Linked DNA regions of Struthio camelus. The protein of the gene in region 2 purifies or fractionates together with the protein of the main gene of each other region. This does not show direct contact. Links are inferred from orthologs where the notes say so. Each region holds a gene or a part of one and is shown on either strand. Other genes may lie near its edges.

Region 1 (7,864 bases), on a different chromosome or scaffold from region 2:
GAGATTTTTCCCTCACAAGCGGTACAGCCTCTCATTACATCCCAGTGGGATAGCTGATGAAAAGCTTTCTCAAAAGGCTCAAAACAGCAGAAAGCAATTCTCGCCAGAAGACATAACTGGCGAGCGCAAACCCAGGAGCAGTTCCACCCCTGCTCAGCACGTATACTTTCCTATTCTACTAATTTGCTCCATCTCTTCACCCTCATTTACTCAAGCCACATATGTCGTTTTCAGACTCTCACAGGGCAATATCCACTTTCCTGATTTTCCCCTCTAATAATGTAGTTAGGGCAAAACAAATACACAGGCCAAATAGTCCGGACTAAGTCTAGGCCAGGCTTGCCTAGAGTGTCCAAGCCCATTCACCAGGACTGCTCTACCCCACGCCTTTAAGGATGAGGTTATTGTGCCTGCTGCAAGAGAAACTCCCACTTTACATCTCAACGGATATATTCTGGAAAAGCCTATTCACTTCTCAACCGTTCAAGTCATGTGATCCTTTCAGCCATCTGCGCAGATAATGCCCTCTTTAATTTAAGAGTTCCCCTTGCAGTACAGGGCCAAAAGTCACAACGCTTTCATCACTTTCTCCATAGAGCCGAGACACTAAATTGAAACTAATTCAGATTCCAAACCACCAGCTCATGCAGAGCTATGGCTTTAGAGGTGTTCATCCTTGTGCTCCAACCTTCGCTGGCCAAAAGCATCACATGACCCCAGGAGCGCTGAACACACCCTGACTTTTCCCCTAAAGCAACTGCCCATGTCAAATGGTGCACACCTATCAAGATGGCTGACAGCACAAGTTTTGTACCCTTAATTCTGAGAAGCAGATAAAGACTCATTTGACTTGTCCTCTGTCCTCAACTGCCAACTTACAGGTCCTCAAGGCACTGCAGCTTCGCTTAAAGCATTGTTTTCTACCCCCCGGTTTCAGAAACACGGAACTTGAGAAGTATCCGCACCGACTTGTGCTAGAAGTGACTAGGCTACGCTTCCAATTAGCGTTCTGTCATAGTAACTGGAACGGCCTCGTGAAGTACAGAATGGAGGTTGTAAAACATCACTTACAGACAAAACTGCTTTTGAACACTGTCCACGCGCTAACTACCAAAATGATAAGTCACGAGGCATGCACTTCATCATCAATTTATAAGCATGAATCTATAATAGAACTTAAAGTTACATTGACACTACGCGAACTTACCAGCAGCTCAAAAGAGCAAGATTTAAATATTTTAGGTAAACAGTTTAAAGGATTCAAAAGGGTAATAGTTCAGTTACTATATGAATAAGTTGGCAACGCTCTCCAGACTCTTCCCATGAGCTTTGTGAATATCCTAGTCATCCTTTCCACTGTGAGCTCAGAAAGCCTTATTACCTACTATACTCCCTACTCTAATGAAATAATATTTAGAAAACAACCCAAGAAGAGAGACCAACCTTCCTAATAGGCGTGGAGACAGCTAAAGGACTACAGTTTCTCTTTGTTTCTGCAGCAGGCTGTGCCTCAGGTGAGCTCACAGAGTGAGAACTTAAGGAGGAATTAGTAAGTAGAGAGTCTCCTTCGCGGGATGATTCCAGAGTCTCATTTTCTGATGTGATGCTTCCATCCAGAGAAGCAACTTGAGGAGACTTGGCAGTCATAATATCCTCCAGGAGCACTACAGGCATCTTCCCCTCAAATATGACATCCTTCAGTTCACTCTGATTTATCTTTGTTTTCTCCAAGTTGTTACACTCTGGTAACCCAGAACAAGACTGGCTTCCACCTACCAAAACTTCATCTTTATTTGCCGCAGCTTCACACGGTGCAGTCTCCATTGAATCATCCATTGGGCTATTCTGACTAGAATTCATGCAACTCGACTGGTTTATATCTTTTTCTAGCATGCCATTAGTTATACCTACAGATGAAGATGCTTCTGAATCTAAATTAGCATGGTCCACATCATCACTCAGTCTATGGCTAGAGTCCTTTGTCAGGTCAATAATGATTACAGTGTCATTTGTGTTATGTTTTGTGTTTTTCTGTATAAAGTGATCTAACGGACCCTTTCCGTTAACAAGTTTTGGAGTAAAATTCACATCTGCATCCAACTGGCAGTCATTCTCCACATTGTCCAGGGACGCACATGACGTATCGAGAGAGGAATCCTTGTTTTGTCCAAAACTGCTTTGTGAGCTCTTTACTTTTTTGACTTCTGAATCCGCATCATATTTTTCCTTTGGTACAGGATTCAAGCGCTTGAAAGGCAGCCGGGCTGAAACAATAACATTTCGCTATTTTAGTCACATCATATAAACCCATGGGGGGAGGGGGGGGAAGGGACACAAACACTGCAATATTCACCTAGTTCTTAAACACAAGAAGAGAAACTGATGAGCTAGAAGGGAAGAGTTTATTATCGCAAACACAATCTATTGTACAAGTTCAGGCCTGACACGTTTTAAAGCACTAAGACCGCACTGGGTGCTAGACACCTGCTCCAGAGCCTTACCTTGCACAAGCTTCCGTGGGGGAACAACCGCTTTGCCTCGACACTCCATGGCTGCAAGGAAAAAAAAACACCAGTGACAGGTTTCTGCTTAGTCACCTGCTCCCCAGGGGCAGCCGGGCCACAGCGGCCCCGACGCCCCTCCCCAACACGCAGGGCAGTCGGGACCTCTCGGCCACACAAAGCCCAGCCGCGACCCGGCGCCCTGAGAGGGCCTGGCCACCCCCCGAGTAGCAGCGGCGGCAGCGAGCGGGGGACAGCGGCCACCGGGCCGCAGCGGCGGCGGGACCAGGCCCGGCGCCTCCCTTTGTTACCGCAGGAGGCCTCAGCGCACCCGCCGGGAACCGCAGCGGGCCGGCGGAGCCGAGGGCGCCGCCCGGGGGCCCCGCAGCCCCCCCTACCTGCCATGGGCGGGGGCGGCGGCGCCCGCCGCTCCCTCCGCCGGCGGCAGCGGCAACAGCCCGGCCCGGTCCCCTCTCGCCCCGCCCGAGCGGGACCCGCTCGTATTTGGCGGGAGCCGGGGCGACCCCGCGCCTCACCGCGCCGATAGGCGGAGCGCGCCCCACGTGACGCGCCCTTCCGCCCGCTCCGCCCCCGCGCCCGCCGCCCAAGTCTCGCGAGAACGCCGCCTCGCCCGGCGGAGGGAGGCCCGGCGCTTGCCCGCCTTCGCTGCCTTCCGATTGGCCAGCGGGATAGCCGCAGCTGATTGGCGCAGGCTGCTGTCAGTCTGGCCCGCTACGCAGAGCTGATTGGCTGGCTGAGGGAGGCTCCAGCTGGCTCTTCACGCCTGGCCTCGAGGCCTCGTTGCTCAGCGAGCGGGAGCCGAGACAGCGGCGATGCGGTCCCGGGGGAAAGCTCCGGAGAGGTCGGAGCGGCCATTCCGCAGCGCCGGGCAGCGGGAAAGACCCGGCCGCCGCGCCGCGCCGTCAAGGGGGCGCGAGCCAAACCGCGAAATGGCGGCGGCGGCAGCCAATGAGCGAGCGCCTTCCCGGCGCGAGCCCCCTCCGCGCGGGGGTGTGGGAGGAGGGCGCGAAGACGCTGCCGCAAGGGCCTCTGGGAGTTGTAGTTCGGCGGCGGCTGCGAGGCGGAGAGCCTCCTGGGAGTTGTAGTCGCCCCTTTGCCTCTCCCAGCGCTATGGCAGCCCTTGGGGGGGGGGGCGGGCGGGAAGGGGGGCACAGCTTGTCCCCACACTGTCCCCACACGGGCCCTCGCTCCCAGGCCTCGGCCCGCCGCCCCCTGACCCCCCGTGCTGCCCTGCCCCAGGCGGCGTGGGACGCAGCGCCCCGCCACGGGCCTGCTGGGGACGCGGCCCCCGCCCAGCCTGCCCGCCGCGCCTCCCCGGGAGCAGCTCCCTCCTGGTCGGGAGGGCTGCGGGCCCCATGGCGCTCGCGGGCTGGCGTTGTCCCCCCTCCTTAGGGACGGAGCGAGCGCCCTGCGGTGCCTCGCTCTGGCAGTTGTAGGAGTTGACCCTTCACGCTTCCGTCGCTGAAGGTATTTTTTTCACTTTAGGTTTATAAACGCGCCCCGTGGTCCGTAGCAGGGCACTCAGGGCGGGAGCGGAACCGGTTACGGGTCCGGAGAGAGCTGTTTTGCACCAGCGGCTGAGAAAGCGCTGCCTCCCGCGCAGGCGGCTTGTGCCCGTCTCCTGCGGAGAGTTACGCTGGACCGCGGAGCTGCCACGACGCTCCCGCCGCCAGGTAAGAGCGGAGCCGCTGAGGCGGCGGTCAGAGCGCGGAAGCGTCGCCGCGGCGAAGGCGTCGCTGCGCCGGGCCGGAAACCGTAGCCGACGGGGCGGCACTATCGCGACACAACCTCCTTCCCCTCCTCCCGGGGGCGCCTCCCTCGCGGCCTGCGCCGCCCGCGCCGGCAGGGGGCGCCGCGGCTGCCCGCCGAGCAGCAGGGCGGCGCTCTAGCCGCGCGCCTCTCGGTGGCGGCGGCGGTGGCGGCGCCCCGCCAGGCCGGCAGGGGGCGCAGTGGTGGCGGGTCGGGTCCCGCGGCGGCGGCGGCGGCGGCGGCGGAAGCTGCGCGCCAGGCGTCCGCCGCCCGCTGTGTCCGTGCGCGGCCGGCCGAGGCGGCAGCATGTCGGTGGCGGGGCTGAAGAAGCAGTTCTACAAGGCGAGCCAGGTGAGCGCCCTGCCGCTGCCCCCGCGCCGCCTTCAGCCCTCCCGGCGCGCTGCCCCCCCCCCCCGCTGCCGTGCTTCGGTGCTGCCCCGTTTCCCGCCGTCACCCCCCCCCGGTGCCCTCCTTGCCGGTTTCGTGTCCTCCAGCTTGGTGCCAGCCGTTATTCCCCGGTGCCCCCCCCCCCGGTATCGCCGTCCGGTGGCGGTACCGCTCCCTCTGACAACGCGCCGTTACTCCCATCCCGGACCGGTGCCCGTTCCCCCCCCCCCACACCCTCCCCGCTACCGGGGTCCGGTGCCGGTTCTGTCACTGCCAGCTCGGTGCCACCGGCGGGGCCCCTCCCGCGTCCCGAGGAGGCCGAGGGCCGCCGGCGCAGCGAGATGGCGGAGCCTCCCGGCTTGGGCCGCTCGTCGCCCTCCGAGGTTGCCCGAGCCCTGGGCCGAGCTGGCAGGAGACGCGGTTGTTCCTGTCGCACCGGCGGGTCCCGGGCTCGGGATGACGCCGGGTCGGCCGCCACCGCCGCTTTCTAGCGACGCTTGAAGTCCTCTCTCCGGGTCGACGGCGCGGACGCGCTGCGCCTCGTCGCCAGAAAGGGACGGCGGCCCCGGGACGGAGGGAGCTCGTTCCGCGCCCCAAACCTCGCCGCCAGCGAGCCGCAGCCGTCCCGTGGGCATCAGGGCGCGAGGGCGGCGACGGACCAGCGCGGCAAGGAGCCTGCAGGCGGTGAGATGCTCTTGGACTAAACGTCGAGTCGGTGTATGGATTCCAGGAGCAAAAAAATAAAGACGGAAAGGCTGAAATTCTGCAGCGGAGCAGAATTCAGGCCCGGAAGGTGAGGTCTTGGCTAGGGATCACCGGCCCTCGTTAAGCCCAGCCTGGCAGAGAGCAGCGGCAGATTGCAGCTGCAGCCTAACCTCAGGAAGTTCCCGCTTCCTTGATAGTAGCTGACATTGGGACTGGGAAAGGATTTTGCGGTTTGCAGGGTGAGGGTGTCCAGCTTCTCAGCCTGTGTATGCGCTGCACAGGAAATGGAGGCCTGGCGATTCTGGAAAAACTGTCAGAGGTGCAATTTTTTAGTAATTTATTAGCCAAACGAAGCCATTTAAAATCTTCCTTAATTGATAGTTCAAAGTGACGCTCCTGAACTAAAAAGCGTGTTTACGTCTTCGTAAAAAGTACATCTTAGGTATGGCTCCTCACAGCTTGGCGGTGGGCTGAAGTTCTCCAGCTGAACGCGGGGGGATTGGCCTCTAATGCAGTTCACAAGCACTTTGTGCCCCTGTTTTAAATTTAAGACAGATGAGTTTTGCACTGATCTACCAATTGGCTCTGTGTGTTTTCCAGGCGTAATGTTTCAACACTTCCAAGCTTGGTCCAAATATGTTTGCTACGTGTGTTGCCTCCTTTCTTGGCTGTAATTCATGTAAAAGCATTTTGCTTAAGCAGCAAAGCAAAATAATAAATTCCTTAAGTCGTTCCCCCATCCCTTTTCTTGCGACAGAAAAGCAATCCCCTGCATCTAGTTTTTTACAACTTCCAAGGGAAAGATTGCACTGAAAATTCATTGTTGGAGGATTTTACTTGTGCAGATCTGCTGTGTTGTCGTAGCAGGGCAATTAGAGGTGAAAGCTCATCTGTGAGTCAAAAGTAACGTGATTCTGAAGTCCGAGTGCGTCATCCTAAAACATCTGCTGAAACTTTTCACCAGGAGAATTATTTTAAACTGAGGTAAATCACAGGTGGCCTTTGCAGGTGTTTTTCTGTTCCATATGTAACTTTTTGAAAGGAACCGTTCTAGTTGCTCGTGGAAAAATTAAACCCCATGCAGCTCTTTGGTGAGATGTAGCCCAAATATTCTGACTTAGTGGCCTGTTTGTATATTGTGTGTGTACGCACATGCTTTATTTGAACACTATGTTCAAGGGCATTACTAAAAAGTGGGAGATAAGGTGTAGGTGCAATTGCACCTTGAGTTCTTTTGCAGCTCGTGCTGCTGCAGGGTTTTGGAAACTGATTTAATCTGAAGAAATTGCGTTTAACGCGAGGCTTGCTGCCAATATTCACGGTACCATTGCAGAAGTGAATTGCATGCTTTGCGGGGAAGTAGAGAAGGGCAGTCTGCTATCAGAGGACAGACACTGCTGGCTCCTTTGGAGCATCCTGGGGGCTGGGACGCAGAAGTATCTGAGCTTTAGAGATTCTTTTTCTGCGATCTGGGAGCGATTGGTCCCAGTTCTACCATTTTCCTGCATTCTCCTCCTCCTCTTTCCCTTTTCACTCTTCTTCCCCCTCCTTCCACCAGTCCCACTCTTGGGCTCCTTGGCTGAAGGAGAAGGAGGATTAGTTATTTTTTGGCTCTCTTAAAGGTATTAGGTGCTGCCAAACCCGAACATGTGGAAGATTTTTCCTAAAATGTTGCAGTTAATTCCATGTCTGTTGTTGATTGAAGGAAAACGTAGCCAGGACCAAGGCCTGTGAGGACCCTCTCAGAACCTCTCTGTTGCTGCAGCTCTGGGTGTGGGATTTTCCCCCTTGCCTCCCAGCGAGAAGAGGCTGCCAGTTCGGCCTCCTCCAGACCCGGACAAAGCAGGGTGGTGCTGCAGGCGGTGAAGAGGGCTTGGTCCTGAGCTCCTGCCTTTAGGAAGGCCTGACTTATCTGATTCTTGTGGGTCTACATGTTCCCTGGGTGAGGCTGCCAGGCGCCCACACGCAGGAGAGAGCCGAGATAGTATCCTGCAAAAAAAAATCCTGCTTGCAAATGCCGCAGAGGGTGAACAGTTCTGTGTGTGCGTCCAGAACAGGTTTTGCTAGTTCACAGTGAAATGTCCTTTTTTAAGGAGGGGGAAAAATCCCATCGAAAACATTCTCCCAAGAGGTAGGGGGAGAAACAACAGCATCTTTGAGTTCCAGCGCTGTGAGCCAGGAGCAAGGTGGGAAGTTGCGCTGCAGCCTCCGTCAGCGCCAGGGATGTGAGACCGGGCCGGTCCCAGGCTCCGTCCAGCCTTGATCCAACGGTGGTCGCTCAGATACCCAGGAAGGTGCAAAATCCTGCGGTAGGGAAATGGCTTCACTTGCGCCATTTACTTTTCTCAGAGCCTTGATTTAAGTCCTGAAACACAAAGTTTAGCATGCCAGACTTTCCATTAACCACGATAACTGGATATGCTTGGTAGATAGAAAAGCTGGACAGACAGGGCAAAGAAACATTCCTCTGCCGTTCCTTGGTGAGTCTGATGCCTAGCTGA
Region 2 (7,430 bases):
TCAAATCATCCAAAGAAATTAACAAAAAAGTTGCAAAATTGGAAATTTTATCTGAAAAGATTTGTGACAGGCACCTGAATCAAAACAATTCTGAAAAATGTAATTGTTTAGACTGATTGTCCTGATCTGCTCCCAGAAAAAGACAAAGAGTATCTTGTCGTGTCTCTGTACCCTTCCACATTTCACAGACTAAACTAGAAGGAAGTGCAACAAGACTTGCACAAAGCCAGTAGCAGGCCTGTCCTCCAAAAGACAACTGCGGAAGTTCCACGGAACTGCCCAGATGGAACTGCTCACACAGAATATGGAAATTATTTACTCTGTGCCCTTATTTTATGCGTTATAAGCCTGAATTACACTGTATTTTGCTTTTATCCTGCATTTTTCTCCTCTAATTTCACATTCTTGAAGCTACAGATTTTTGCACTGACAGTACACAGTCACTTTGCAGAAGTCGTCAGAACGGAAAAAAAAGTCTTAGAGGCTGCACAGAGGGTATGTGACGTGGGTCAACTCAGGCAAAATTCAGGAAGAACATTTTCAACATAGAGCATAATATGGCTAGAATTATTGATACACACAGGGAAAGGAAGACACATTAAATCTGTCTTACAGACAGTAGCAGAATGTTCAATAAAATCCTGCAGGAAAAAGAGGCAGATAAGAGGGAAGGAGGTGCAGGGCCTAGGAAAACAAACAAACAAAAAAACCAAATCCCCCAAATGGCATAAAACCTAGTCAAAATAAAAAAATGATATGATCAGGAAGAGGAGCCAAAAATATGCGATTTGGGCAAGAGCTGGATGGAAGACAACAAGGCAGAATGTGGAAAAGGTAATACTTTTGAGTAGCAGTTTTCATGAATACCAGCGACCAAATGATTTGGGCTTGGACCAGAGCTGTATATACCTGCAGAGAACGAGAAGGTTTGAGCTGAAAAAAAACTGGCGGGGGGTGGGGGGGGGGGAGGGAGGAGGCAAATTTGAACACACAGTGGTTTGAAAAGGAAAGCAAGAAGCTGAAAGCTGGAGTTGATATCCATGCCACACCCAGCAGATAAAACTGAGCGGCCTGGAAATCTCTTGGTCTTCTTTTTGTTACCATTCAGTATTTCTGAATTTGGGGCAAACAAAAGCCCTCACTTCTGAGTTCCAATGCAAAGTTCACAAAGTTCCTCATTTCACTTATGACTATTATGACAATTCTCACTAAAAGACAAGCAAAAACCACAAAGTCATCTTAGGGACGTGCCTTTGCCTGCAGTGGTAGATTGAAAACAAAACAGTGCAGAGGGAATGTATTTATTCTGGTCGCGTGCAACCACTAGTCCATTGCACTGCCCTTTGAAATGCTGGCTCACCTAGTTTAAGAATATCATAAAGAATAAAACTATACAGTGCAACAAACAAAGCAGCTACACTTAATCAGCATGGCAGACCTGTCTCCAACATATTTGATTTCTGAGTACAATAGAAACATCTTACGCTATTTTGTCACATACGGTAACACGCCACTTACCCTGCCTTAGCTACGCTGATGGTCTGTTGCTCCATTGCTTCATGGATACTGGTTCTGTCATGTTCTTTGATACTGTTGAACTCATCAATACAGCAAAGGCCTCCATCTGCAAGCACCAGGGCTCCAGCCTCCAAGTTCCACTCCCCAAAGTCCTTCACAGCAGTCACTGTCAAACCTGAAGAATCAATTACTTCAGTCAGCCTTTTCCATAAAACGCAGGAGCGCACTTCAGTGAAAGAAAGGGACTCCGTACATTGGCTTGTACCACAGACAGAAGGCAAAACAGCAGGTTAGCTTCACCACACAACTCTACCATGTAATTCAGTTTACACCTACCAGTAAGAAATCACACTAGTACTATGCAGGTCAGCTCGGATCTGCTGAACAGGGTCTGTTAAGCTTCCCACGTTTGGTAATAACTTGTTTTATGACATTGATAAATGTACAAAAGTGATTACGGTTAAAAGACTGAATCTGTTAATCAAATTGAAATTTGGGGTAAATGCAAAGATAGCAAAATTACAGAATGGATACACATAGCTCTTCCTCCCCATCAGCTATTAAAACAGACAAAGATTCCAGAACTGAAGAATGAAGCTTGGAAAAATAAATTATTTCAAATATTCTGTCCCCAGGAAGCTGCGACAGATTCTCATTTTGAACTAAGACAATAAGGTCTCTTTTTGAGATTTGGTTCCTTTGAGCATTAAGCTAAAATGAAAAGCCAAGATACTCAAAGATGAAATGGAAAAAAGAGTTCCCAAGAGGTAAATCCCGCTGTAAATCTATGCATGAGACAACACCAGGTGCATCACAGGCCAGAAAAACTTCCTCATACGTCTTCTGGTTACAGAGCTGCACTTTCAGCTTTACATTCCCTCTACTAATTATTTCCTATGATGCAATACTGACACAGTTCTGAATGTGGGTTAAGAGCCTCAGGACAATTCTACTGCTAGGCATTAAACAACATTTAAAAACGGGGTTGTTTTGGGGGCTGTAACTAAACCTGTGGGAATGGCTGTTCATTATCAAATAGGTGCAGCTCCTTTCAAACTTTGTATTCCCTATTTCCCAGCCTTTTCTCTATCTTTAGCCCTTCTTTGTCACCCTGCAGCGTTCAGCTCAAAATATCCTAGTAGCTGACAAGCTGCAACCAGCCTCGCATCTCCTGGAATGCTAGGGCAAAACTAACCAAAAGATCCTCCCACTAAAACTTCAGTGGGTCCAGAGAGGAGAGGCTGCTGCTGCCTTCTCACCACTGTGCAGATGACCACAGTAGCTGTTCGCTTCCAAATAGCCAGTGAAAAGTTATTGGAAGTATATGTTTCCTGTTAAGAGATCACATATTTTAGCTTGTTAAGAAGAACCTCTTTCATTGCGTCCCATCTCTCCAGGTTTCCTGGATTCTGTAAGCCCAGTACTAACCACACAACTTGGGCAGTCAGTTACATAGCAGAATTACAAAAACCAAAACAGTCTCTAGTCTCCAGACAGACACAAGGAGAAAGTTATAAAAAAGTATAGCAAGCAAGATCAGGCAAGCATGCAGACCATGACATTTCTTTGTAATTACAAATCAAAAACATCGTCTCCTTTCACAATTTTGCATGAGCTCGGTGCTTTGCTGAAGGACCCTGTGCCTCAGTGCTATGCTCCGACCCGCTGCAGACCCGCTCTGCTTCTGCCAGCACAGCTCAGCCTTTCCGTGCAGGGAGGAAGATGGCTCCGACGTACCTTCCTGCCCTGTGACCTCCCCTGCATCCAAGGGCTCCCTTCAGGCAGGACAACCTGCCTGTGTATTTACTTCCACAGACTCTCCACTCGGGGTTAGGAGGAAAAATATTCACCTAGCCCCGGGTAGGAGCTCCCCGCTGGCCCACAACCCAGCCCCCCCCCATAGAGGCAGGAGCGGTGCTATGGGGACATATTTATGCTCCCTATCCCCCGTGCAAAGGAGGCCTAAGATGGCCTCCTCTGCGGACTTCCTGCTGCTGCACAAGGGTGTATTTGGCTTCCCGATGCATTATTTCACCCAAGGCCTTCTTCAGCACATTAAGAAATTCAGCACATTCTTGAAAATGCTGCTGTTTAAAGGATAACTCCTGACCCCTCAATAAGCTGTTGGATTGATCTCTCTAGCTATGCGGATTCGCCACAGAATCCGGGCCCACGCAGACCAGCCCGGAAACCTGGCACCCCACTGGAAAAACCCCACTTATTCAGCGCGTGCCCCGGGGGTGCGCGAGGTTTCCGTCTGCGCGGCCTCTTCCTGCACTCGGCTGGCGGCAGGAGGTCGGGGCCCCGCGGGGTGGCGGGCGCACCTGCCCGGGGCGGCCATCCGCCCTGGTGCACTCATCGCGTTAGCACCAAGCCCTAACGGCAGCGACGTTGTGCGTCGCCTCGTCACTCAGGGAAGGAACAAAAACCACCTCTGCGGAAATTGGAAAGGGCGGGGGGGGAGGGGGAAGAAGAAGAAAAAAATTTAAAAAACCCCCCAAACGACAGCACATGGCGAAAGCCCGGGAGCGAGGAGAAGGCGGCGGGGCCGCGGGCCGCCCCGCCCGCTGCTGCCCGCCCCGCCCGCTGCTGCCCGCCCCGCCCCGCGCGGCCCCGCCCCTGCCCGCGCGGCGACGCCGCCGCCGTTGCCCGCCCGTTTCCGCGCGGCGCCGGCCGGGCGGGGGCGCCGCGGCGAGCGGCGAGGCGCGGGCGGCAGCGCAGGGGCCCATCTTGGTGCCGCTCGGCGCCTCGGCTCGGGGAGGAGGGCCCTAGCCCAGCGTGCGGCCAATCCGGGCGGGCGCTGGCGGCGAGCAGGGCAGAATGGGCTGTAGTTTAGTGAAATAGGAAAGCTGCGAACAGTGTGGAGTGTTCCTGGTGTAAATAAAAGGGGGGAAAAAAAAAAGTTTCTTCAAGTCACAGCTCTACGGCCTCGCTCAGACAGTGGCACTGGGGTTTGTGCGTTGCAAAAAACCAACACACTGGACTTTATTGTGCTGCATTAACACGCTCTTCCTATTGTTTGTGTTTTTTTCAAAATATGGCAAAGGTTCAGGTGAACAATGTAGTGGTGTTGGATAATCCTTCTCCTTTCTACAATCCTTTTCAATTCGAAATCACATTTGAGTGCATAGAGGACCTGTCGGAAGGTGAGTAGATTTTTTCCCAATACCGATTTTGTAACCCAGGGCTGTTAGTTTCAGGGGTTTTAAGGTTTAAACTTTGCGAAGGCCTGGTTCGACAATTTAACAGTTTCTCCTTCACTGCATCGGTGTGCCTAGATGAAAGGATGTGCTTGCAGGCAGCTGAAACGCTGGTTTAAAATCGCTCTCGCCGAGCCCGCCGGGGAAAGTTGATCGCTTATTTCGCCCTCGCCGCCGAGCCGGGGGGCCGCGTTGCCCGGCCGAGCTGTGCATTTGGTAACGCAGGCTTTAAGTTGCAAGGAACTTGTTTGAGTGGTGGTAGCCATGTTGCCAGCTTTGTGTGTGTGGGGGGGAGAGTGCGCCTGAGAGGGAGAGGGTTAACCGAACCCAGCTCGCAGCCAGCCCTGCTCCGGAGGGGAGCTGAACTGTTGCTGAGCGAGTAGCGATACGCCGGGACGTTTACCCGATGCGGGCAAAACATTTCGGCGCAAACGTTTCATTGGCCTCATGCTCAATTTTTTAATACTTTAGGAGGAGGAGAAAAAAAAAAAAGGTGGCTTTCGGAGGCCGGGGCGGGCTGGCTCATGCCGCTTGCAGGGGCCGGCGGCGGCGTGCGGGGAGCGGGCGGGATGGCGGTACGTTAACTGCCCTGCCGGTGGGGGAGGGGGCCGGCGCCCAGCCACTATTTTTGGAAGTCACTCGAAAGTTACCGGCTGCCGCCAGGAGGGGAGCAGCCCCGGCGGCGGCTCCGCCGCGCCCGCCTCCCCGCGGGGACCCCCCCCCCTTCTCTCCCCGTCCTCCCCACAGCTCAGCCGGGGGCTGCGGGCCGTGCGCCCCGGGCCCCGGCGGAGGGGCGCGCCGCGCCGCTGCCGGCGGGAGGCGGGCGGGCGGGCTCCCGCCTTCTCCTCAGCCGGGCGGGCCCGAACCGCCCTCGCCGCCGCCGCGCCGCAGCGCCTCCCCGCGGGCCGCCGCCGCGGGGGGAGTCGCCCCGAAACGCCCGGCGGGCGCGGGGCGCCGCGCAGCCCCGGGCCGCGGGCTTCCCTCGGCTCGGGCCGGAGGTGCGCGCTGGGGGTCGCGGCTGCTGCCGGCGGGAAAGCGCCAGGGCGGCCGTTAGCCGCCCTCTCTGAGGGGACAGCCGCGAGCTGCGCCCCGGCGGGGCGACGGTCGCCGCCGCGACCAACGCTGCCGCGCAGCCAGCGGCTCGAGGGAAGGGGCAAGAAAAACTAAGTTCATAAGTGATAAGGTGTGGAAGAGGGTTCCTCTGTTTCTAAATTTGCCTCCTGCAGCCTGCTTCTGTAACAGTTTCTGCGGGCCCGTGCGGGTGACTGGCGGGGTGCCCCCGGCCCCACGCCGAAGCGCGGCGCGGCGCCGCCCTTCGGCGACGCTGCGGCTGTGGCGGGAGCCGGTGCCGTGCCCGAGCCCTCCCTCCTCCAGGCCTTGGCCCGCGGCTCCTGCCGACGTGCCGCCGCTTCTAAAACTCGCCGAAGTATTAGCTTGGGCTGGCTGCCGCCACCTGTGACGGTGTTTGCTCCGTGGCTGTGTGGAGGGGGCTGGCTGTCTCTTTCTCGGCCGGCTGGGCTTATCTGAGAGGCAGCTTAGGAGCCCTGGGCTGGACGGGGGCGGCGGGCAGCGGTGCGCCCCGGAGGGGGCCAGGCGCCAGGCATCATGCCTTTCCTGCCAGTTGTGCACAGCTGTGCATCACGTGCCCCTCACTTTGTGCATTTACGCCACAGTTAATCCAGGACAACCGGGGCGAGAAGAATTATGTAGATGGTCTGCCGCAAAATTCTCCGTTCCCTTCCCCCATCTAAGTGCGAGTTAGACTACAGGATAAATTCAGGAGGAGCACTGTTATCTTTCACACAGAAAAGTAAAATGAAACGTAGCCTTCCCATAGCTTATGAAAAAGTTGCCGTCGTTACCTTAGCTTTCACATGCAAATATATCTATTTATTGTGCTTTTTTTCAGTCAGTCCTGTGCACTGCTGACCTAAAAGTAAATTCATAAAGTCCAGCCCCCTTTCCCTTACCCCAGTCTTTTTTAAGTTATCATTCCACATCAAGAATCCTAAAAAGCATTGGCTCAACCAATCATGTAATTTAACTTTTTTTTAAAGTATGTTTTTCAGTACTAAATATTACTAGTCTAGAAGGAGTTTCATACTGTCTTCCTGGAATAATAGCACATGATGGCAGGATAATCTTAAATAATTTTAGGCTAAAAGTACTCACTTGTTATGTACAGTAACTTGCACTGACCTTGAGAAAACAGGTCACTAATTCACCTGGATTACTAGCCCGCAGTATTGGCCGTACCTAGTAGTAGATGCTTACAAGGTAAATAAAACCTCTGATGCAGTACCTGGCCTGTTGCGTGTACAACGGAATAAAATCACTTCCTAAACCCTGCTAAGCATATTACTTAAAAACTGAAAACTTGTATTAACGTGGAAGCGTGATTAAACAAAGGACTGCATTAATGAAGAAAAACAGCTGACTGCAATCCTAAAGCAGTCCAATTCTGTTGAAGTGCTAGTTTTTGCTTTGCTTCAGTTCCAGTCTTGCATCAAGAAATCATAACATAAGCTTCTGGATTTTGTGGAGAATGCAAATAAAATAAATGGAATAGGCTACAGGTTAGTGCTTTTGCATACGTATTCAGGGCATTACTCATACAGTAAAATACAAATATAAAATATACCATGTCCATTTTAAGGTGCTGTTTTGAAGCAAGAATTTCATTACAAAAATACTGACTTTTTAGTCACATTC
Region 3 (7,628 bases), on a different chromosome or scaffold from region 2:
GCCCCTTTTCCTTCAGCCACAAGGGAACTGGCAACCCCGGCCAGGTTCCACTCCCATCTCACTCACAGAGGGAAGGCCCAGGGCTGAAACGTTTCCTTCATGTAACAAGACCTGTCTGGGGTTTAGGAGTCCCATAAAGTGACCCGAGAGCTTTTATTTGGGTGGGTGGCAGGGAACAAAGCATGCTTTTATTTTGCGCCTAACCTCTCAGGTCGCACAGGGTGAAACGTACCGTGCCTCTAGCAACCGCCTCGGAGAGCTGTACGTTGCCGTCGACTAACGTGTGCATGTCCAAGTGATTTTATACCGTGTGAGGCTCTGCACTGCAGGCGGCGGCCAGAGCCGGCGCGGCGGCCGCCAGGGGCCCGCGCAGGGGGCCGCGCCGGGCAGCGGCCCGCCGGGCAGCGAGCACTTACCTAGGGAATTTCTCCTTCAGCTGCCGCAGGCTCTGTCTGGTGGGCTGCACCTGCCCCAGGAACTGGGCTATTTCATCGTACTGGGCTTTGGTCAGCTTCATGCCTCGCACCGCCAGACCGGCACGGCGCGGCGCGGCGGCGGGAGGGGGGCAGGCAGCGGGCTGCCCCACTCGGGCCCCCAGTGCCACGGCCGCGCGCAGCGCGGAGAGGCGGGAGGAAGGAAGCCCGTGACTCGCGGGGGAGAGGGCGGGCGCGCAACAAGCCCGGGGCACCCTTTGCTAACAGCCTGACGCTCAAACAGCCATAGGCGGCGGCGGTGGAGGCCGCCGCTTCCCGCCGCTCCGCCCAGCGCTGGGACGGCCGGGCCGGGCCGAGCCGGCGAAACGCGGCGGGGCGGGGCGAGCCGCCATCCCGCGCCGCTCGGGCCTGCGCAGCCGCTGCAGGGGCGGGGGAGAGGCGCGCGGCGCTTCCATGGGCCCCGCGGAAATGGCGCTTTTCTGGAGGTATCGCCAGGCTCGGAAGCCTTAAAGGGTCTCCTTGCCTCTCCCTTCCCTACAGCGGGAACTTCCCCAGGCCTTCGCCCTGGGGCGGCGGGGGGAGGAGAAGGAGAAAGATGCTGGCCTCGTGGCCTGGCCCAGCCACGGCTGAGGAAGCGCCCGTGGGCTCCTTTGCCGTGAAGTCAGCCGGCGCAGAGGGAGCTCGCGTGGGGCCGCGGAGGCTCCGATAGTCGTGGGGCCGGGGGCGCCGAGCGCCGCGCTCCAGTAGGCCCCGGGGGTAGAGACCGAAACAGAGCCAGGTCTGCGCCGGCAGTACCCCGGGGTGGCCTGGCTTGTGCAGCAGTTGCAGCACGAGGGTGGGGTGTAACCTCTCCTGAATCGTTTTGAAGTATAATTTTCAAGGCCTTTAACCGGCAGCCACTTTGAAATAACTGGTTCCCCCCCCCACCCCACCCCCCGCTTATGGTAAAGACCTGCTGAGGTAGTGGGATTGCGACCGTGGCTCCTCGCTCGCCTTAATTGTAGTGACCTGTAACCTTATGCTCACGCGCAAATGCCTTCTGCTAAGTTTTAGAAGAAAACCGTCCAAACTTAACGCTTCGATTGACTTGAAGTTTAGTTAAGCCTCGAGCGTATTTTGAATGACATGGTGATACTATGAAACATCAGTGCACATGGTTGAAGCCTTGATTCCTGTGCTGGGTGTTTTAAATAATTTTGGGAGATGGGTGCTCCTTTTAATAAAGAACTGTATATAGATGAGAGATTACAAAGAGAATCAATCATGCATCTGACTGACAAATATAATTTCAGTTTAACTAATCATGTGCATGAACTGTGTACAGACAATAATATTGCTAATTCCGCATGGTTTGGAGTCCCAGCCTTGCAGTTTCAGACACAGAAGTAATGAAATTTGCTTGAAATCTTGAGGAATTGATTTATGTAGGTTTTAGGTTTTGTTTATTTGCTGTCTCTTTTGAAGGCTTTGAGGATCACATTTTAGGTGTTTTTCTGCATCTTAGCCAGAAACTTTACAAAATTTCTTTGGAGAGTATGAGAACTGCAGCTTAAAGGAAAAGCATGCGAACAGTATGTGTATATTAGCCAGGTCAGGCACCCTGGCTTCTTATTACTTGACAGTGCCTGATGAACCCTCTGTCACTTCGTCTTCCAGGGTTTTTAATGGGTTTAGTTTGGAACCTGGAGCCTTCCTGAGAACAGGTGCTTCTGGAAAGGTGCCTTAAATATCGATGTTTGAAGCTTTAAAATATTGCTTTGTTTTATATAAGTTGCATTCTAGATTGTTCTATATTGGTGGTACGTATCTGACAAATATTAACAATAAACATTTTAATATCGATATTTTAATGTTAATATGAAGTCTAATAAGAATAGCGATATACAGCATTTGGATATATTAGACTTATTTGAGAGAATTGATTAGATGGTCACAGCTGTGTATTTGGTTGGCTTGGGGGCTTTATTTGGTATTTTACTGAAAGAACACCATTTTGCTGTGCTAGTCTTCCCTCCTGTTCTGATAGTATCAACAGCAGTTGTAAAACTGAAAAGGATAGGAATTACATTGAGTTATTATAAAGTTTTCTTTATTTCCTGTCTCAATAGGCTTATCTTGTTTGTTTTTTTGTTTTATTTTGTTATATTTTTACCCTGGGTTAATTAATGTGCATCAGCTATTGGAAAGCTAAAAATAAAATAAAAAGAAGGGTAAAGCTAAAGCGTCTGTCTTCATTGTGTTGAGTAACATCCCTCAGTTATTATAAGTAGCTAACCTTAAAGCAAAATGAAAGTGGAGGCAAGGCATTTTAGTTTTGCTATAAATGTTCTGAGGTCAGTCTCAGTCAAAGGTACAAGACTGTCTTCAGTAGGTTTGTCACAGTAAATGAAGATGGTTTGTTTTCAGTGGGTTTTTTTTTTTTCGCCTTACAGTGTAAGTAAACACAGTGAAGCTAAGCCAAATTATAGATTCCGTTCCTTTCTTGGAGACCAAAAAATAATATGTGAAATTGACAAAAGATTTTCCTTTTAAAGGAAATATTATTATTTAATATTAAAATGCTTTATTTTCTTTAGCTATATGAAGTAGTAGTCTTAACACTACAGGATGTTTGTTGGGAGGGATGGGTGAGTTCTTTTTAATGTGATACCCACTTTTAAGTCCCATGAGGGTATAATTTTCTTGAGCCATGGAAAGGATCATTTTCCCTTATCTTGCAAAAGATTAGAATTATGACTTCTGAAATATAATTTTTTAAAATAATTTTGTGCGTCTTCACTACTACTACTACTACTGCTTCCTTAGAAGCGCATAAAGCGTGCTCTTAGAAATGACTTACATCTTCCTTTCTTTGTTGCAGGATAAGTTCCAGTGAAACTTGTTTTTAAAATAATAAGGTTTCTAGCTTTAACTTGTAGGTTTATCTCTGTTCATCTCCCTTGTTCAGTAGTAATTTAAAAAAAAAAAAAAAAAAATTGACATTTCATTCTGCATTGCACAGCGGTGGAATAGTTTTAGAACTGCAGTATGAAGTTACCAATCTCTGGAGCAATGTCTGATATAGGTATTAGATATGTTTCTTATACTATTGTCCTAGAACAAGGTTCTGCAGATTTCAAAATTATTTTAAAAAACAAGAAAATAAACTGGCATGAATATTCACTGCAACCAAGATGAACTAAGAGAATATTATCCTCGTGAGATAACAGCCCTCAGAGATATGAATCACTTTTCATCCAAAAGAAGCATTTACGGTTAAGTGTAAGGGCTTGAATGTTTTAAAACATAAATTGGAAGTTCTGTACACAAAATGTATGAGCCACAGCGTGCCTATATTAATTACCACAGAACTATACCAATGACGTGCTCAAAAATCCAAACAGACACACAAAAAAAACCCTGACGTGTTCCTATCAGAAATAGCTCAATTAAGCTGCCATCACCGTTTTTACCATACGCAACAAACACTAGACCGTGTGAAGCTGAGCTGTGGATAGCTGTATAAGGTGTTGTGGATGTTGGGAGTTTGCATAAATTCAATAAGCAAATGAGTGAAATTTGTGGAAGAAAAATACATGAAAAGCTTTTAAATACCTTTAGCCCAGGAAGTCTCTGAGATGCAAATGGCTGGATGCTGGGGGAATGTTCTGAGGAAGTATAATTATGTGCTTGCTCTGTTCTTACGCTCCTTCCTTGGCATCTGCCCTTGGCAGCTAGTTTTTTGGATTTCTGCCTTGGGGATGGGTTCCAGTCCATGTATAAGAAAAACTATGTTTCCTTCCAGGAACGAAGGTGGGCTAAAGAAAAAGAAACAAAGGGAAAAACAAGTGACTGGAAGTGACGAATGAGGGGGAGAAAGAGAAAGAGAGCCCCTAAGCTGTAGGGTCAAAAATATAAATAAAAAGAACCAGAGGGAAATAGCTGGCCGAGAACCTCCAGTAATGACCATCGTTTAGTAAAGGTAGTCTTGGTCACAGTTGGCAAAGGATAAAGTAACAGACCTTCGGTCTGCTTTTTATATTATGTTATTTGATATTTTACCAGTGATCTTAGTAGGTGTCCCCCATTACTATGAGAAGGTGATTGCATAGTGTCATTTATAGCCAAGTTCATAGTTAAAATGCCATTCATTACTTTCCACAGAGCTTAAAATCACTGTGTTTTGAGGCTAGATAATTATAGTACGGTGTTATAAGGAATAAATTCATGCATAAAGTGTGAATTCTGATTTGAGTTTTATGACTTTACAGCTATCTTTTTACTTTACCACTCCACTTCTTTTATAGACAGAATCTCTGCTCCGTGTTAATTTTCCCATAGCAAAATTAATGCAAAGACTCTAAGCACCCATATGTATGTTCCAGGAAGGGTAAATGAGCAATTGCATACTGGTGAAAGTACTTTTCTCCAGTTTCTCTGCAGGAATGGTGGGGAGCATCTGGAGGAAAGAGAGAGGAAGAAGCATTTTTCAGGCTGAGAAGAGACTTTTCATGATAGGACCAGATCTTGCTGAAGATACTGAGAGAGGCTGGTGGGAGGGGAACTGTATGAAAGAGGATTGTGGAAAGAAGGACAAAAATTCCTAGAGTGCTCAAGTGACTAGAAAAATGAGCAAGGAGCTTTATTTTGTACAGATTTATAGTTCACCTGTTCAAAACTGAAATAGTTGGTTTTGAAACACTGAAAAACCTGTACCATTGACTTCACACAACATTCTAGAAGATGTGTCAGTGGGATTTGAGGTTTGGAAAAAAAAAAAAAAAGTGTCCTTTACTCAACTGGAAAGTCAGTGACTTAGTGGCAGATTCAGGACAAGCTGTTAGATAGTGAGGTCACAAGTCTTGCAGAAGGAGCTAGAAGGAAAATCAATATCCCAAAAATATACCTGGAAATCTGAAATCATGAGTAATTCTAGCATTCTGCATGGATTTAAAAAACTGAAAAGTTTGTGCTTCTAGAAATTGGTGTTCATGTAAGAAGAGAAAACTTACTTAGTTTGTTATCTTCAGCTTCCTTTGGAGGTTCAAAAGAAAAGACTGTTTTAATTTTTTTTGGTGTATGTGTGAACTTTGAGGTACCAGTTCTCGGAAAGTTCTCAACTGCCGTTGCAACATCTTTGATTCACTTTCCCGTGCAGGCATCAGACATTTTGAGATCCTTTGAACCCTTTTCTTCTCTCAGAGGGTTCATCTACAATCAACATGTTGAACTTGAGTCTTCAGGTACTTTTTCAAAGACTTTTCTGAAAAAAAGGGTGTCAGGCTTTGTTTTCATTGGTAGGTCTCATACAAACAGTTGATCACCTAGTTTAAAATTGTGCTGCTAAAATACATGCCATTTTGATACTGAGTAGCTTTTTAAAGTTTTACCTTCTATCTTCTTCCTTTATAGACTGTATAGCTCAAATGTTTTTGAATTTTTAGGTTGTCGTAATTGGCCTGTTCTGCAGATGTGCTTTGAAAATTAAATCAACTATTTTTTGATTGTAGGTTTTAGAGTTGGGAACTGCAGTAAGACTAGAATCTCATTTGCAACTCTTATTAGAGCGCCTATTACAATTTTCTATGCGCACAGTGTTCTCACTTCATTCAGTTTGGTGCAGAAGTTTTTGTATAGGTATATTTTAGTCTCTTTTTCATGTGTTTTTTATTGTGAAACACAGCTCTTCTTATTTGACGTTTCTAAATTATAAGAAAAACTTGAGTATGCTTCCGCTTAATTCAGTAGTAAGTGTATCTGTAACTGGTTTAATAAACATCTCCACAGGAGACAGTTGTTACCTCATAAACAAGGAGAACCTTCAGTTTATCATCTAATTTATGTCCATAGGTTCTAATGTACTAACTGAAAATAAATGTATTGTGGAACAATCCATGATACACTCAGTCTGTATTGGAAAGAAAAGAACAGTTGATCTATACATCACTGTTAAGCATTGACTATTTTGCCAATTCACAAGATGATAGATCACAATAAGTTTCTGTTTTTTCCCTAAAAGTATTCGTAGGATTACTTGATATCTCAACACTGTGAAGACCATGACAATGTTAGGATGATTGTATATAGGAGAATAGCAACTCAAAGAGGCAGACATTGCTTTTCTTCTGTGTCTTCAAATTTATTTATTGTAATCACAGAAGTAATTGAGGAAGATAAATCTAGCTTTCTGTACTATAAGTATACTCAATATATCTTTCTTTAAAATATTTGTGTTCTTGCTGAAGACATTTTTTAAAAAATATGTGTGTGTTTGTATTGTGTTTTGAAAACATTGTTTTATATACTGGGGGCCTGATCCAATGCTTGATCTATGGTCAATTGGAAATCTATCATTAATTTTAATGGACTTGGAAGCAGACCGTTTTTAAGGTTGTAAGCTGTATGTTTATGTATTTTCTGTAACAAGCTATAAAAGAATTTTGAAAATGATGAGTTACTTAGAAAATCAATTTCAATGACTGAGATGTTAACATACCCTACGTGTTCTTGTGCTGGAGCTTGACTCCATGGTAATTCCGTATGATAAAATTTCTGGAATTTGGATTTGCTTTTTTAAACTCACAGTAGTCAGATACATAAACCTATATTAAAATATCTTTCTGGTTTCAAATTCAGTTATTTAAAGTTAATTTGTCTTCTTTGTCTGTATGCATTAAAATATTATTAACTGTTGCATACTACCTTTTCCCCAGGGGATTTCTGCTTCATTCACTGGACAGGGAAAACACTGTAGCTGTGTGAGGAATTGAGTTGTTTTCTGTAGGACCACTGTCTCATTTGTTGAAGCATTTGGAATATGTACTGGGTGAATGAAGCAGGAACTACAGAAAGAAAAAAGTTAAACGTTAAGGTAATTTCACTGCTGCCAAGGAAAATGGATTCTCCCCTTGTCTCTTTACAGACTTCTCATGTAAGCTTAGAAGTCTTTTGGTGGAATTTTCCTTCCGTGTGGCCTCTTTTGAAAGGGCAGCCACATTATCCAGTGCCAGACATCCTATTTAATTACATAGGTGCCATAAGCAGTTCCCAAAGAGATCATCCCAGCCCACTCCAGCCAGTTTTACATTCTCACCTGTGCACTTGTATCACTACTACTAGTGCTGATTGTGTGCATACATGGTCAGGCAGATCCAGCTGAAAAATGAATATACCAGAAAAAAAAAAATAGAAATATTATTTTTCAGCTGAATCAGC
Region 4 (7,624 bases), on a different chromosome or scaffold from region 2:
CTTGGATCATTTAGACAAGAAAATACAGCTTGGTATCTCCATGACACGGCAGACAGCTTTACATACCATCAACAGTTGGTAACACAGAGTCATCCTCAGCTTTTTCTCCTTCCTCTTCAACCTGCACCCCTTCCAAGGCATTTCCCAATACACCATTCTCCATTCTAAAGGGAACAGAAATTTGTTATCCCTTGGCTCTTATATCGATACCGTTCTAACTGTAGAAACGTGCAACTCATTGGCCCATCCAACCCATCGTTCTAGTATAACCCTTCCAGTACCAGCACAAAATCCTATTACCCCAGCCAGACTTTTCATCTCAAAGCATGACAATTACACTTTACCTGACAGTGCTCAGATGCCAGGATGGCTGTGCTCTGAAAATATTTGGGTATTCGTTAACCTTGTAGATATACTTCCCTCCAAAGAGGCATGGATATTCGCCATATGATCCCTTAAAAAGAGTACTTCTGCTACAAAGCTTGTGTTTAAATAACATCAAACAAGCCATTGTAGATTGCTCCTACTTTTGAGTTCTGGTTTTCTGCCAGAAACCATTCTATTGTTTCCAATATCACTTCTCACTCTCAGTAATTAATCTCAATCGCCTCTCAAACTAGCCATTCCTTTTCCCCCCAGAAAGCAGGTACGCCAGTCACTTTCAGCTATAAGTTACCCAAAGGAAGCATGTGACACATCCATGGATGGACACTATAAATGAGAAACTGTTAGCATACCTGGCCAACTCCAGAAGAGATTTTCCATAGTAAAAAAAAGCTTCTGCACACTCGTCCGCTGTCTCACCATATTTTTTACCCCTACAAAGGCAATGAAGCATTATTCTGGGTCTGTGTCTTTCTTAGATTTTGATGTTGAACTTGAAAGCTATTAAGAACACCTAGACAGGAAGAATCAGTTCCTTAGCCTATCTCCCACTTTCAAGCGAATAGTGAATGTCCTTCTCACTAATCTAGAACTGGTTCTCAAACATCCAACAAAATAAATTAATCTAGAAGCCTCAAAAAGCATTACCCTCAGAGACTGACCAATACTAGCAAAGAATGGGCTAGTAACATGACCCCGTTATTTTCAGATTAACGGACTACATCAGAACCATACACTGCAAAATAAAATACCAAATTCCTTTTTCTCCCAAGAACACTGACAATTATTACTAAGCTGCCTAAACTGCACACTAACTACGGTATTTTCAGATATCCGAGTTTCTTTATCCTACTTTTAAATAGCTTGTACCGTCCTCAGATGTACTATAAAAGCAGCAGCCTATCCAAGGTTTAAAAAACAAAAAACCCTACATCTTCCTTGTTTAACTGTATCGGTCAAGCTGAAATCCAAGTCCTATTAAGGCACACAAAGCATTTTATTACTTACAATAAACTAGCAGCTTCCTGGAATGCATTGACAGCAGCTGGAATATTTCCCATTACCAAGTGCTTCTGTCCTAAACCCAATAGTTTCTTGGATTCTCCATCCACATCCATACTGAAAAAACAGAATACAAGATTCCATTAGTTTCCACATAATCAGAAAATGAAATATCAGGGGAAGGAAAAAAAAAAATTGTACCCAGCCTCCAAAACCTAGTCAGCTTTACGTATGACAGCGAGTTGCGTGCATCCCGCTCACTGGCACTACCAGTAGTTTCACCAGGACCAACTTTCAGCTGTGATGTCCAAGCACAGGCAGGTTAACGCTAACCAACTGCTGCAAGAAGCAGATCACAGAACCAGGCACGACAAAGAACACTTCCTGGGACGTGCTTCAGGAGCCGCGCACCACTACAGCGCCCAGCACCGGCCAGCGCTTCTTCCCGTTCTGATACTCGCTAAACAAAGGGGAGCGACGCCAAGTTATGACTTCTCATAGCACAGCACGATACATCTGAGAAGAACAACAGGCTTAGTTAAGCCCTGGATGCAGTTCAGCGCATCTCGTGCGGCTCCTGGAGGGTCCGTCCCAGTCCTGTGTCCTGCCCGACACCGGACAGCCCCAGCCGCCCACGGAAGAGCATCCCTACGGGCTAGCCGCAGCATTCACTAACTCGTCTGTTCTACTCGTGCCTTCAATAACCCTTGAAAGGGTTCTGTCACCCGACGTTTGCAAGAGGCTACGGGAGAAGCCGGGTCCCCAGCGCCCGGAGGAGCCGGCGGCGAGGCCGCCGGCCTGGCCGCGGGCCGGAAGAAGGACCGCTTCTGGCGGCCCCTCAGCTCACCCTGCCGCCTCACCTGTCCGTTTTGTCTGCGGACGTGGAAGGAGCAGCCGATTCCGCTTCCATCCTGCAACGGAAAGGTTGGAGAGGCGTTCAGACCGGCCGCTCGCCCGGCCCCAGCCCCGGCCCGGCCCGCCGCGGGGCTCCCGGGTGCCGCGGTGAGCCGGCAACGGCAGGGCCCTCGCCGCCGGGAGCGGGGCCACCCGTCCGCCAGCGCCCGGGACCCGCAGGCGAGGGGCCCCTCGGCTCCTCCAGAGGCCCCGGACCCGCCGCGCTCGCCCCCTCCCCCCAGCCTGGGCCGGGACAAAGGCGGCGCGAGGCGGCCCCCGCCCCCCCCCCCGCCTTCGTGCAGACAATGGGCTCTTTCCCGCCTTTCCCCGTCGGCCCCGCCCCCCGCCTTTGGCGCCAAACACCGGCGGCGGCTCCTCACAGGCTGGCGGCCCGCCGTCACGTGACGCGGCGGGATTTCCTTCCCACCCACCCCCCTCCACCCCGCCCGCTCCCTCCCTCGCCTCTCCCGCCCCCCCCCTCCAACCCGCCGGCAGGTTCCGCGGCTTCGGCTGCCCCCAACAAAGATGGCAGCAGCCCCGCAGGGGTCACGTGGTGCTTCCGCGCGAGCCGAGCGGGCCCAGCTGGCGCTCGAGGAGCGGGGCGGCACGTACCACCGCGCGGGGGGGGGGGGGGGGGCAGGCGCGCGAGCCCAATCAGAGACCCCCGGCTGGCGCCCCCCCCTTAACGAAGCGAGGCCCACCCGCCGTCTCCTTCCCTTTCTCCCCACCCCCCACCCTCACCCGCGCAGCGCGAAAGCGGCCCTATCCCCCTCCTCCTCCTCTCCCGACACGCACACACCGTGACCGGACCCAGCCCGCCCGACCCTACCTAGTTCGAGAGGCCGGTGCGGGCTCAACGCAGGGGGGAGCGGCAGCGGCGGCCGGAGATTGCATAGAAGCTGCTGGAGACAGGGGCGGCGGCGGCAGAGTGCAGACCCCTACCCCTCCGGCTGCCTATATACCCCCGAGGACACGCCCCGACCCGCCTGGCGGCGCGCGCACGCCGCCAGGGGACTACAGCTCCCAGGATGCCTCGCGCCCGCCCACCGCCGGCCACCCCGGGCGCCGCTGCGCAGGGCACGGCGGGAAGCGTAGTCCCAGCAGGAAGTAGCCGCGGCGGGGCCGCGCGGCCAGGTGGGAAACGTAGTGCGAGATGCAGCGGAGGGGGCGCGTCCCGGAGCGGACGGGGAAGGGGGCGCGCGGGGCGCGCTGGGAGATGGAGTTCGGCTGGGAGGCCGCCGCGGCCGCGCGGCCCGCTGGGAAATGTAGTCGGTGCGGGGCCAAGAAGCGGGGCGGGGGGGGGGGGATTGCGCCGGGCCGCCGCTCCGTCCCCGCACACGCAGCGGCTCGAAGAGCATCTGGGCGGGCCCCGGGGCCGGCAGGACGGTGGCGGTGCGCCCCCTGCCCCCTCGGCAGGGTGGACATCTTGCGAGGACAGCGCTGCCCGGGCAGCCTGGAGCCCGGCAAGGGCGAGCGAGCAGGGTCAGGCGGGCTGGTGACCGCTCCGCTTGTCCCGGGGGCCTCCTAACTTAGGGGAAGGGACCTGCCGCCAACGGCAGCGACAGCCCTGCGGGCGCCGGGGTGAGCCGGGCCCTGGCGGGGGCACGGGCCCCGGCGTCCCCTCCCGCCCCGCTCTGCGGCGGGAAGGGGGACAGGCGGGCGGGCAGGAGCGCGGCCCGCAGCCGGTTACCCACCGCCCGCCCCCTGCCCCAGTGTCTTGGGAAGGGAATGGCCTGCCACCGCTTGGGAACTCTCATTTATTAGGGAGCTCCTGTTTTCTCTCTCCCGCCACCCTTGGCACGGCAGCAACATCATGGCGCTTGCACCGTCTATCTAAGGCAGGCAGTTAACCGGCTCCCACCGAGCTCCCGGGGAGGCTTTCTCCACAGCACATGCAAGGCAGCAGACAACACAGACATGGCTGCTGCAGCTGTGACAGCCGAGACCTCCAGAAAACTCGCACAGCAGCAGCAAACCCATTGGCGGAGACCTGGAGGCACATTTCCCCCTGTGCCATTTCAAAATAAGAGTTCAGCAGCTTCAGCTGTGCTGGGTTCCTCCAGGCTGTAACAGAGCTGAGGGCATAAGCAGGGAATCACCAGCTTTTCTTGGGACTTCTCTCTGCCTACTTACTTATATCCCCTTGTTTAGAGAAGTAACTAGAAAAAGTTAATTGGCCTCCTGACATTTGGGGGGGGGGGCAGGAGGAAGTCTCAAAGTCATACACTGAATACAATATTTATTTAAAGCATGCAAACATACAAGTGGAAATACAAGTGACAAAAGCCATTTTTCTTGACAGGAGGACTGCTGTTATCATTCTACAAAGCGCCTTCAAAGTAAAATTGCTTCCTTATTGATTTGCAGCAGGAACCATACTCCAAGTCATCCATGTTTGATTAGAATAATAATAAAAAAAAAACACATAGATTTGTCTCCCTTCCAGTCTAGTAAAGAAACCTCACCGAGTTGTAATGGTTTTCTGTACTCAAGTAAGTTCAGCAGTAGACTGCATTAGAAAACACTTTGCTAAGGGACAGAAAAATTCTTTTATCGCTTTTTGTAATGTTTATTTAAAAATTAGATTTGTTCCAATTCATCTGCCTGCTGTGCAGCTCATAGCAGAAAATACCTGAGGAGACACTGGCCTGCATTATGCTCGAGATTATGCTATATGGTTTTAATACAGGCCTACTACAAATGAAATAAAGGTAGCAAAACTAAGATAGTACATATTTTTTTAAGTTTTTGAACTACTTGAATACAGAGGGTTGTTACTGCTATGGGGGAAAAAAAAGCGTTCTTTATTTCACTTACAGTTAGTTACGCTTTCTTTATCCAGCAGTTAACCAGAACTCTTGCCTACGACACTCTCTGAATGGCATCAATGGATCTGAAAGAATCCCTCTGTTTTAATTCTGATAAGCTTTAGAAACTGTGCCTTGTTACCATGTCTGCACAATGGCGAATAAGCATCAGTCCTATTTTACAGGTAGAAAAAGTCAAAAAGTTAAACAACATTGGTAAGGCCACAAATGGTATTACTATCAGAGCACTGTTTAACACCTTACACCCTTTTATACTCAGATGGCTAGACAATTCATTACTGGGAGACTAAAACAAAACAAAATGTTGTTACTGCTAGAGATCCAGCAGTACTCAATGGTACATCAGCACTCAGTAAATTAGTCCCTGCCTCAGAATAACACAGAGACATGGCAAGTTGGAAAACAGAGGCACAGAAAAGGCAAATGACTCAGTGGTAGAATGTGGGACAGGACCAGCTATCCCAAGTCCCAGCCCAGACAGCAATTGAAAAGGACACATTAAAATAGAAGGGGCCTAGGTCTTTGCTCTTATTATATAGTCAGGAACTAATTCTGTGATCTTCCAGAACTCAAACTGGACATCTTTGGTTCAAAGACACACTGGACAACATTATGGGTAAGGCAGGATGGATTTCCCCAAGACTTGCTAACAAAGTTATTGATGCTTTTGCGATGGGACAATCGGTCATTGCCAGAGCTAAAACCTATCTTTGCGACAAGTAACAGAAAGGATTACCCTGAAGGCCTGCTCCCGGATATGCATTTACTTCCCTCAAGTTCACATAACAGTTAAAAGAAAAAGAAAATGCAGATCAAAGTCCCACAAGTATTCTAAAGGGAATAAAAAACACTGGACGTGGCTGGTTATTTGGGCTGTAATTAATGCTTTACAGACATAGAGCAACCATAGCACTTTCACTTTGTTCCCTGTATAAAAACGCTAATAAGGATATCAAAGTCAATAACTGAGCAGTTGTTTAGTCAGAAAATGGTTTCACGCTACTGCCTTCTCCCCTCCCCTCCTTTTTTTTTTTTCCCCCCCCTCTCTCGTGGTAATAACTAAAGAATTCAAAACCGTTTTACATACAGTAAATCCAAACTATTGCCCTAGCCCAATTATGAAGCGCTTGGAGCTTGATTTGGACTCCACCACTCTGTCTAATCCCCAAAACATTTGATGCTTCCAGGAGCAAGCTTGCAGTCATTGTAACAAATCCCACAAACTTTGACATGGAAACTACAATATCTTCAGAAAGGAGGTCAATTAAAAGCAGTATATATAGGTAAACCTTCTCAGGCCTCCTATTCAGAAAGGAAGGTTTTATTTGGACAGGCTTTTTGATAAACGGTGGCAACAATTACTTTGTGGAAGGGCACCCAGAGGAGCATGTTATTCTAACACCTTATTTTCCAGTAGTTAATAGGGGTCATTGAAGGGGTAGTGGGGGTGTCCAGCATCTCTTGCTACTAGCTTTCCATTCACCTGTGAAGCAAACAGATAAGCTCAAGTCATAACAACCACCTTACTCTTAGTTACAAATCTAAACTATGCAGCATTTGAAATTATTCATATACCAAATGTGTACAATCAACTTTTTCAGTTTAGCAAGAGCTGTTCCCTCTACTCCAAGTGCTGTTAGTTCTTCTTGAAAGAGAAAACAAAACAAAACAAAACAAGATTTCCGTAGCCTGAAGCAAAAGTCTTCCGGAATTCCAGCTGCTGAGACTTGAAGAACTGGATTAAGAATAGTTAATCTTTTTGCCTTGCAGTGGTATTGAATAAGTGTTGTAACAGGCACACTTCAAAACACTTTATAAAAATCAGAGCTTTCGCCTATCTTTCCAAGACAGAGACTTGCTGGGATGTTAAGTTTTACAGATGGACATGAGGAAACAAATTAAATAGTTTACTCAAGGTCATACACGGAAGCACAAACAGTGTCACTGAACTCTTTCATAGCACTTTTCATTTGTGAGTTTAAGAATATTTCCAAGGCAGATCAGTTCCTCCAGCTGTGAAATGGGAGAGCTGAAACTAATGTTCAGGAATAATGGAACAGAAGCTCAGGCTGGCCCAAAAGCAGACCTAGCCATACAGAAGTCCCAGTTCCTACACCCCACGTCTAACCATTCAGGTGCACAGGCTGCAGTCCTAGATGCGTTCAGTCTATTGCAACACCCCACTGAGCGGGAGCTGGGGTAAAAACCTTGCTCCTAAACTGTATGTTTGAGGGAATTAAGTGTGGCATCAGCGAGGAGATACACCTCCCTGTGTGTGTAGTGTGACAGGCTAGCATCATTCAGCTCAAACTTCTATTAAATGACTAATGATTGAATATAAATGTTAGAGATATCACTGATGAGATATAAATGTTAGAGATCATTCAAAACGTTATGGGAGTGTAGGGGAAGGGAGGGCAGGGGGGGAAAATTACCGGGCCTTTTAAACCAAGTATCCACTAGCGAGTCCCTCTAGCTTTCAGTATCAATTCTGCATTTGAAAGCAACAACTGGAA

The links.
Region 1: the proteins of ASF1A (region 2) and CHAF1A purify together in Homo sapiens (affinity purification with western blotting; 3 studies listed by BioGRID and IntAct, with this or other methods). This does not show direct contact. The link is inferred for Struthio camelus from reciprocal best matches to the Homo sapiens genes ASF1A and CHAF1A.
Region 3: the proteins of ASF1A (region 2) and CDIN1 purify together in Homo sapiens (affinity purification with mass spectrometry; 3 studies listed by BioGRID and IntAct, counting the BioPlex papers as one, with this or other methods). This does not show direct contact. The link is inferred for Struthio camelus from reciprocal best matches to the Homo sapiens genes ASF1A and CDIN1.
Region 4: the proteins of ASF1A (region 2) and NASP purify together in Homo sapiens (affinity purification with mass spectrometry; 6 studies listed by BioGRID and IntAct, counting the BioPlex papers as one, with this or other methods). This does not show direct contact. The link is inferred for Struthio camelus from reciprocal best matches to the Homo sapiens genes ASF1A and NASP.

What each region holds. Positions count from the first base shown.
Region 1 is NC_090967.1:4,458,770-4,466,633, reverse strand, and holds the start of CHAF1A (chromatin assembly factor 1 subunit A), read right to left. Parts: upstream 3,066-7,864; 5' UTR 2,907-3,065; coding exon 2,900-2,906; intron 2,553-2,899; coding exon 2,502-2,552; intron 2,265-2,501; coding exon 1,444-2,264; intron 1-1,443. Other genes in the region: SH3GL1 (endophilin-A2), read left to right, coding at 4,578-4,622. UniProt on the Homo sapiens protein: Acts as a component of the histone chaperone complex chromatin assembly factor 1 (CAF-1), which assembles histone octamers onto DNA during replication and repair.
Region 2 is NC_090944.1:65,344,190-65,351,619, forward strand, and holds the start of ASF1A (histone chaperone ASF1A), read left to right. Parts: upstream 1-4,189; 5' UTR 4,190-4,555; coding exon 4,556-4,664; intron 4,665-7,430. Other genes in the region: DNA helicase MCM9, read right to left, coding at 1,519-1,693. UniProt on the Homo sapiens protein: Histone chaperone that facilitates histone deposition and histone exchange and removal during nucleosome assembly and disassembly.
Region 3 is NC_090946.1:49,777,565-49,785,192, forward strand, and holds the start of CDIN1 (CDAN1-interacting nuclease 1), read right to left. Parts: upstream 3,385-7,628; 5' UTR 518-3,384; coding exon 417-517; intron 1-416. UniProt on the Homo sapiens protein: Plays a role in erythroid cell differentiation.
Region 4 is NC_090949.1:27,444,681-27,452,304, reverse strand, and holds the start of NASP (nuclear autoantigenic sperm protein), read right to left. Parts: upstream 3,294-7,624; 5' UTR 3,175-3,293; coding exon 3,110-3,174; intron 2,298-3,109; coding exon 2,247-2,297; intron 1,504-2,246; coding exon 1,393-1,503; intron 819-1,392; coding exon 738-818; intron 165-737; coding exon 67-164; intron 1-66. Other genes in the region: AKR1A1 (aldo-keto reductase family 1 member A1), read right to left, coding at 6,526-6,591. UniProt on the Homo sapiens protein: Component of the histone chaperone network. Binds and stabilizes histone H3-H4 not bound to chromatin to maintain a soluble reservoir and modulate degradation by chaperone-mediated autophagy.